Linked DNA regions of Oryctolagus cuniculus. The main gene of each other region encodes a partner of the protein of the gene in region 2 in a complex. Links are inferred from orthologs where the notes say so. Each region holds a gene or a part of one and is shown on either strand. Other genes may lie near its edges. The genes, in order: NEBL and XIRP2.

The links.
Region 1: the proteins of XIRP2 (region 2) and NEBL are in contact, whole or in part, in a crystal structure (PDB 4F14), measured with the Homo sapiens proteins. The link is inferred for Oryctolagus cuniculus from reciprocal best matches to the Homo sapiens genes XIRP2 and NEBL. Residues at the interface, in NP_689594.4 of Homo sapiens: Pro2420, Pro2421, Pro2422, Thr2423, Leu2424, Pro2425, Lys2426, Pro2427; in NP_006384.1 of Homo sapiens: Tyr963, Asp964, Tyr965, Asp969, Asp971, Glu972, Ile987, Asp988, Asp989, Gly990, Trp991, Met1004, Pro1006, Asn1008, Tyr1009.

What each region holds. Positions count from the first base shown.
Region 1 is NC_091444.1:47,142,952-47,146,776, forward strand, and holds part of NEBL (nebulette), read right to left. Parts: intron 3,161-3,825; coding exon 3,050-3,160; intron 2,889-3,049; coding exon 2,778-2,888; intron 1,373-2,777; coding exon 1,268-1,372; intron 1-1,267. UniProt on the Homo sapiens protein: Binds to actin and plays an important role in the assembly of the Z-disk. May functionally link sarcomeric actin to the desmin intermediate filaments in the heart muscle sarcomeres.
Region 2 is NC_091434.1:74,105,714-74,110,257, reverse strand, and holds the start of XIRP2 (xin actin-binding repeat-containing protein 2), read left to right. Parts: upstream 1-1,577; 5' UTR 1,578-1,906; intron 1,907-4,544.

The DNA.
Region 1 (3,825 bases), on a different chromosome or scaffold from region 2:
CCAGACTACTGCGGACTTGTTGGAGTCCTGGGCAAAACAGCCTCTTCCCCTGATCCAGTCAGTGAGATTTTCCCTTTCTGAGCATAGCCTGACCCTCTCCCCAGAGCCCCCGAGGCTCCTGACCAGCACACCTTGAGAGCCAGAGCTTGCCAAGTAATTAGGAATTGGAAAATATTCCAGAAGTCCTCAAACTTAATAGTTCATACATTTTGATGACACATTTGCTTAACTACTAAATAACTCAGATAATTCTCCATTACTATATTGACTGTGTAGCCAACTTTTTTATGATTTTTAGAAGAGAATTCAAGTTTACACATCCACTAATCATAGGCTCAGTCTCTTAATTAATGATGCTGATGAGATTTCTACTCTGCAAAACAAAAATACAAACTTTTAGGAATTGGCTATGAACTAGTAATCCCTAGATATACTATGCATGTAAATAAGCAATTATCGGGAAAGAAATTACTTCATATGACTACTGTCATCTTCAGAGAAAAATCTGGTAGAAGATTGGGATTTCTTTCCTGATCTCGAGTTGGGTGTTTGGCCAAGTGGCTAAGATGACCACATCTGACATGGTAGCCCCTGAGTTCAATTTCCTCCTCCAGCTCCTGACTCCAGTTTACTACTAATAGAGACCATGGGAGACAGCAGTGATAGCTCAAGTAATCGGGTTTCTGACACCCACATGGGAGACCTGGATTTCATTCCTGGCTCCCAGCTCTGGCTTTGGCTTCAGTCCAGCCCCAATCATTGTGGGTATTAGAGGAGTGAACCACTAGCTGGGAGCTAGTTCCCTCTCTTTTTCTAACTCTGTGCCTCTCAAATAAATAATGTTTTTAAAAAGATTATTTCTTGAGTTCAATTTTTAAATTCAGTATCAAAAAGAGGAAAATGTGAACTTGTAATTATAAAGCAATCATGATAAATTATAACTTATGATAATATTTCATACTTTTATTTTGAATGCAAATAATCAATTCAACAGAAAATGCAAGTAATGCAATCAACAGTGAGACAGTGACAGTAAAGGCCATTGCTAACACAACATAAAATTTCAAAGAGTAATTGAAAAGAAATATAGATCGAATAACCCTAACCAAAAAAATCTGAAATTCATAATGCTCCAAAACATGAAAATTTTTGAGCACTAACATGATGCCCAAGTGGACAATTCCACACCTACACATGGAATTCTTGGGTCACAGTCAGATGGCAGGAACACTGAAAATATTGCATACAAGTACTTCCTGAAACTCACCGCACTAATATTTTGTTGAGTGGTCTTGATTCGCTGCATTTCAGGAGTATTTGCTGCAGTGGAATAATTAGAGAGCATTTTCTCCGCTTCATCTTTATACTTTTTCTAAAAGACACAAGCAGTCAATATGAAGCTGAAGCTCTGTGTGTATGTGTTATAAAACACACATACAGACAGAGAAAGATGCCACATCCTCCAAGTCTACCAAACTGCATGGCTCTAAATCATAGCTTTAAAAATACTTATTATATATTTCAAATTTTCCAAACAAAAATTGTGAGGTAGTAATACAAAGAGTTCCCATATAACAGCCTTCACCCCATTTCCCCTATTAACATCCCCTACTAGTATCTTGGTCACACATAATAAGCCACACTCAGGTTCACCTTATTTTATTAATACAAAAACCTTTTCTCCCTCCAAGTTTCCAGTAGTCAACACTTTGTGTTCAGACTGAGGTGTTTTTTGTTTTTTTAAATTTTAGCTCCCACATATAAGGGAGAACATGCAGTGTTTGTCTTTCTGTGTCTGGCTTATTTCACACAATATGATGTCCTCCAGTTCCATCCATTTTGCTGCAAATGACAGGATTCCATACTTATTTATGTAGCTGAACAACATCCCATAGTATATATATTTTTTCTTTATCCATTCACCTGATGATGGACACCTTGGTTGAGTCCATATTTTCACTGTTGTGAAGACTGCTGCTATAAACATGGTGGCACATGTGTCTCTTTGATACAAGGAGTTCCTGCCTTTTTGGTGTATTCCCAGTAGTGGGATTGCTGGATCACATAGCTCTTCCATTTCTAGTTTTTTTTTTTTTTTCATTCTTATTTTATTCCATTACTATTTTGTTCTGTTGGGATTCATTATTTCCCATGTATATTTTCCCATGTGTAAATTTACAGCAAGGATATTATCCACTAATGAATATCTTTGTCCAAGTTAGATTTTATAAATAACTTCTTCCTCCATATTTTCTTTTGTGACGACTATTTCTCTCATATGCAGTTTTTGTAGAGGGTATGTGACAAGTATACTTTACATTTTAAGAAAACATAGCTCTGCCCTTATTTTTAATTAAGATTAATTCTCATCTGATATGCAGGACAGTGTTGGCCACTATTGTTTCATGTAGAGAGAATTTTAATAATCATAAATCTTATGAAATAAAAAGTTAAAAGTCAAATCTTTGGAATAAATTTTTTCTGGAGTATCAGCAAGAGAAATTCAAGCCAAGTGTGCAATCTGTGGTCAAAATGTCCACGATTCAAAACAAGGGGTACCACAAACAGGAGGGACTCTGGCATTTCATAACACCCACTGAATTGAATCTACAACCACATTCCTTTTAGTTAGTAAGGTTAATCAAATTTGGCCCCCAGTTTGTTAACAACAGAGTGAACTAACTTTAAATGCCAACACCATCAAAAATATACAAATCATAGAAACACACCAAACGTGATGAGGGGACATTTGAATTGATCATCTTCACTCTACCAACCTGGCTATAGATTTCAGATGCCCTCTTGGCTCGAAGCATATCTGGGATGTCCATGCTCACTTGCATGCCTTTCCCCTTAATTTCATTTTCTAAGTCCTTCTTATATTGTTTCTAAAAAAGAGAAAATGATCTCAGAGCTCTGCTTAACTTTGATAGCAATTAAGACATTATGTGTCTGAATATGGATGCCAGCCATGTGAATAGTAACATTGATTCTTTCTAGACACAACCCAGTGTATCATTGTAAACTCTGTATCCCACTACCCCCTTACCTGGCTGGCCATCTGCGATGCTCTCTTAGCCCGCTGCACGTCAAGAGTGTCCGTGCTGACCTGCATTCCTTTCCCTTTGATCTCAGTCTCCAGGTCTCGTTTATAGTCTTTCTACAGAAAATGAAACACAGAGTGAGAGCTCTAAAACCATTAGGAAAACTGCACTGAAACTCTGTGACATGATGTTGCTATCAGGGCCATGTAATTTGCCATTAAGTTGTGCTTTTATTTCTTTAGCACAAGAAGGAAATTTTACTTGGGAAAGGAACATGACTTGGAATGATTTATTCACAAGTCAATGGGAGGTGTTTTTCTACTAATATGAATTAAGAACGGAAACAGCCAGTTGGTAGAAAATTTTGTATTTCCATTTGGTAAACTTGATAAAACTATTGGTTATTAACTAACTCAGTTGAAAATATCAACAAAATATATCTGTAAAAGTGCTGTTTTTTGCTCAAAATATATTTTTAAAGGTTTATTTATTTATTTAAAAGTCAGAGTTACACACACAGAGAAGGAGAGGCAGAGAGAGAGGGAGAGGAAGGGAGAGGGAGGGAGAGGGAGAGAAAGGGAGAGAAAGGGAGAGAGATGGAGAGAGAGAGAGAGAGAGAGAGAGAAAGAGATCTTCCATCCACTGGTTCACTCCCCACAAGGCCACAAAGGCTGGAGCTGCACCAATCCGAAGCCAGGAGCCAGGAGCTTCTTCCAGGCCTCCCGTGTGGGTGCAGGGCCCCAACCACTTGGGTCATCTTCCACTGCTTTCCCAGGCTATG
Region 2 (4,544 bases):
TATATGCAAATACAAGAATGAAGTTGATTGCCATTTGAAGGGTAAGTCTCCTCATAAATTAAATTGAATTATTGATATTTTAGATCTAGTACAATTGTCTCATGTACAAGGCAAGGTAAAATAATATTGTACTAAGTATATTAGGCTCATGTAATAATGTAATGATTATTTTAGATATATATAAAATCCAATTTAATCTTGAGAACAATTTAAAATTGGCAAACTCCATCCTACTTCATCACCGATGAAGACAGCTAAGCTTAGATAACATTTGAAACTTGCCGAAGTTATGGAACACAGCTAGTGGTGAAGCTGTGCTGAAATACTGTCTCCATTATCTGTTAGAAGCTTCTGAAATGATTTCAATGTTCTATATTTGTATTGTCTACTACATAGCCAGTACCCAGTTTCTACAGATTGAGTACTTAAAATGTGAGGAATACAACTGAGGGACTGAATTTTTTATTTAATTTTAATCAATTAAAAATTAAATGGTCCCATATGCCTATTAGCTACTCTCCTGGTATGCACAATTATAAATAATTAGACTCTACCAGCACCTGTCCCAGGAAAATTTTATGGAGTATACAAAAAAAATTCTCAGAAGTTTTTTCTTATAATTAATAAATTGGCATATTACTCCTCAACCTATGATTAAAGAGAAACTAAAATTGTGTATGAAAAAAATGTAATGTATAAGCTGATTTTTGTTCAAAATAATATGATAGCTAGTTTACTGGTAAACATGTTGCAAATGAAGTGGAGCATATATAATTCCAGCGCTTTCTCAAAGTGGAAGGGCAGTTCCCTCTTTATTTGGGTTTACTGGTAGACCTGTTGGATACACACTGAACACCATATTAGAAAATAATAGGAGCCTAAAAAGATAGGGGAAGCTGACTGTAGTTTATATTTACTTAGAATATATTAGTTGTTGGCATTATGGAGCTCATGCAACAGTTCCCCTATTTTCTTCTTGGTTAGGTTGACAGGGTGTGCTGAGTCAGTAAGGTAGCTGCAAAGGACATTTAATATGATTTGCTCAGGAGCATGTGAGGTGACTTCTCTTCCGTGTCTGCTCTTCTTCATGCCAAATGATTTTCAACTAACATAAACAGACAGGAATTCCACAGTAAGTGTTCCCTTAATTCTTTCTAGAATGCTGTCTCACCCCTCTTCCTTTTTTTTTTTTTTTTTTTTTTTTTTTACCAAAAGAAAACTTACTTCATAAACACTGGAGTAGTGTTTTGCTCTATATGTGACACCTCAAGGGAAAAAAAAAAAAAAAACACAACTAGTGTTTAGCTAAGAACATTTTGTGCAATAAAAACATTTCCACTTCCTCAGAATGCATATGAACAAGTCCACCAAAATAAATTAGAACATTTCCTAACTGCACTATTTTCATATTCCTAGTTCTTAAAATATTGAAATTATTTCTTTTAATACAAGTCATCCAAAGACTTTCCTCCCCCCTTTACGCTGGTTACTTTCCAGACTTCGTTGAGAATTTCTGAGTTGGCCTCTATCCATGGCTACAGGAGGAAGTTTGATGGACTGCACATGTGTTAGAGCCGTGCATACATTAGTGAGGTCACTGTGAGGCAGCCTGCTCTACGAGGCACAGTTCTGGAAAGAGTGGTTGACTCAGGCCCCACCTATACAGAGCTCAGTTCCTAAAAATAGGGACACGTTGCATCCTTTAGTTGCATGGCTAAAATAAATTCAGCCGTCCCTTCTAGTTGCTTGATAGACCCTTCAGTGGAGCTGGCCTCCACTCCACCGATTCCTTTCAGGGGACTGGGAAATTGCTGTACACGAAACAAGGGAGGAAAGTATTGAGTGAAGACTATAAAGACATAGGAGATATCAGCGAACTTTCGGTTGAGTCTAAACATTACGGAAGGTACGTGTAAAATAGTCATTGATACACATCTTCTTCCAGGTTTGTAAATGCTCTGTCTAGGTACTGAAGATCAATGAAGACCATATAGGTCAAATTATAATCACTGTAAATGAAAATATTCACCTGGATTTGGTTTTATGATAATACTTAGCACTGCCTTATGTTCCGAAATTGATGGCTTCATACATAAGACTCTTTGCAAATTAGCATTTTTTGTATTTAATATTGAATGATAATGAGCCAAAATTGATAAACTCATATGGGTTAAAAATACAGCACAACGTTTAGCAAAAACTTTAGTTTGTCCTTTATGAGCATAAATTGAATGAATATATTAAACTATTTCTTGGACTTTGGTGAGGGAACGGAAGAGATTAAATATTTTCAACTGTTGCAGCTTGCTCAGAGAAATGTATGAAAATTATTCTTTCCGAGCCATGTTTGATTTTTAAGTCCTTGCTCCAGCCATACTCTTATGTCCACTGAGAGTATTACTGGAGTAAGGATTAAAGAATCAGGTTCTTACATGTTTTGCAGAATTAACAAAAGCATTGCCAGTTGGATCTGCCAGCCCTAATTATAGTAGCTACAAACTTAAACAGAGAAGACTGAGATTGTACTTTAAAAGTATCATGCCCTGTGTTGTTTCAAATGGATTTTTTCTGTTTTCAATTGCCTGTGATTTACCTTAATTTGGTCCTGTTGTACTTTAAGTGTTTAGGTGTTAAAGAGTGAAGTGATTTGGGAGAGACATTCTAAGGGAACTTCTTAAGACACCAACTAAAAGCAAGGACACTTTAAGATTGCATAATACAGAGTTTAAATTTAGCCAGCTGGTGCTGAAATGAAAGATATTTTATTTTTACCATAGCTCTATTTGGTCACTGACGAGCTGTAGGTTGTTTGAATTATTTTAAAATTTTATGTGCAAGGTGCCAAAGGGGACGTAAAATATTTACTTCAACTACATTCAAGACCATGAATTTTAACATGGCAGACCTCCCATTTTGAGTTTTAGAAGATATTATTATTGAGTGGCGAAAATATTGGATCAGAAATCAGAAAATCCTGAATTCCATGCTCTAATATTTCCCTGCTCCTATGCCTAATATTGTAATATTTTTCCTTCTTGCTGTCAACATGTAAACTACCAACTAGACCCATTTTTAAAAGCCAGCCAGCATTTCGGATGTCTGCAATATGGCAAAGTGCCAGCTGTTTGGGGAAAATGTAGTCCACGGTTTGCACTGAATGCTTCTGCTTTCATCTGGTGTGGGCATCTTTAAGAAACAGCTTCTCCCAAACACCTGCAAAATAGAAGCAGACATTCTTTCATGATCACAGAGGGCTTTGCTGCAGAAAACACTCGTGTACACATGTCAGCCCACGCCTGGTGTCTTCTGTGATTACAGAGGACAGGAGAATGTCGCCTTTCCTCAGGTTTACTTTTGGGTAGGAAGCCCGCTGAGGTCACGGATAATTTACCATTGTTTACAGTTGATAAATGCCTGTTATTCTATCAGTTCCAGCATTCTGCCTCTCACATCACAGCCACTACATTTGAAAACCTCTGTGCACAGCATTCTCTTTACTTTCTTGGTAAAATTGTACTTATGATGAGATAATTTGGGGTTGCACTCTTTTTATAACTTCAATACTTGGAACTGATTTATTCTCCCTCTCCATTCCCCCATCTTCCCTCTCCTCTCCCCTCCTTCTCCCTTCTCCCTCCCCTCCCTCTCCCCCCTCCTTCTTCCCCAATCAATCCTTCAACTCTGGGTATTAAGAGAAACTATTTTGGAAGGTCTGTTTGATAACCAGGACTCATGTCTAGGTTTGGTAATTTATAGAGCAGGAGTTTACACTTAATAAGTGTCTGGCTATGTAATTCTGAGAGTGTTGATTGAATAGTTGTAGGGGGACAGAACTTAATTGACATTATTTGTCCTTTTTATTTGCTTCCCATCTCCTCTTTGGGAATCATTAAAGTTACACTTTGAAATTTAATTAAATTGTAATTTGTTTTTTCCTACTTCTGAAACAAACACTTGCTCATTCAAATCACAAATTCATCCCTATCCCTTGTAGAGTGGTGAGTAATTTCAGACTTTTTCAAATTCTTTATAAAGGTTTTTTTTTTTAATTTTTAGTTTTTAGCAGTTTCAGTATAGTTCATAGAGACAATAACACTGATTTATGCCATGAAAGTGTATCATCTTTTTAGAACTGTGTAGTATGTTGTATTGTCTGTTTCCTGACACTAAATATATCTTTTTCCCACACTGCCAATTCTCCAATACCAACTGGAGATCTTACAATTCAATTTTGCACTAAACAAAGACCCTAATTCTTGGACTTAACAAAAATCCCACAGATTAAGGGCTCAGTCCCACAGGACTGTCCCCACTTCAGATATCAACTGAAACTGGAACACTCAGGTTACCACTCTCTTCCAGCTCTCTACTGCTTCAGAGGTTCCCACAAACCTCTCCCCAGGCCCAGGAGTTCGCTAGAGAGGTTCACAGAACACAGGAAAGTATTGTGCTTACTGTCACTAGTACACTATAAAGGGTACAACTCAGAACAGCCAAATGGGAGCGAGGCATATGGCAAGGTATGGCGGGGAAGAGTGGAGGCA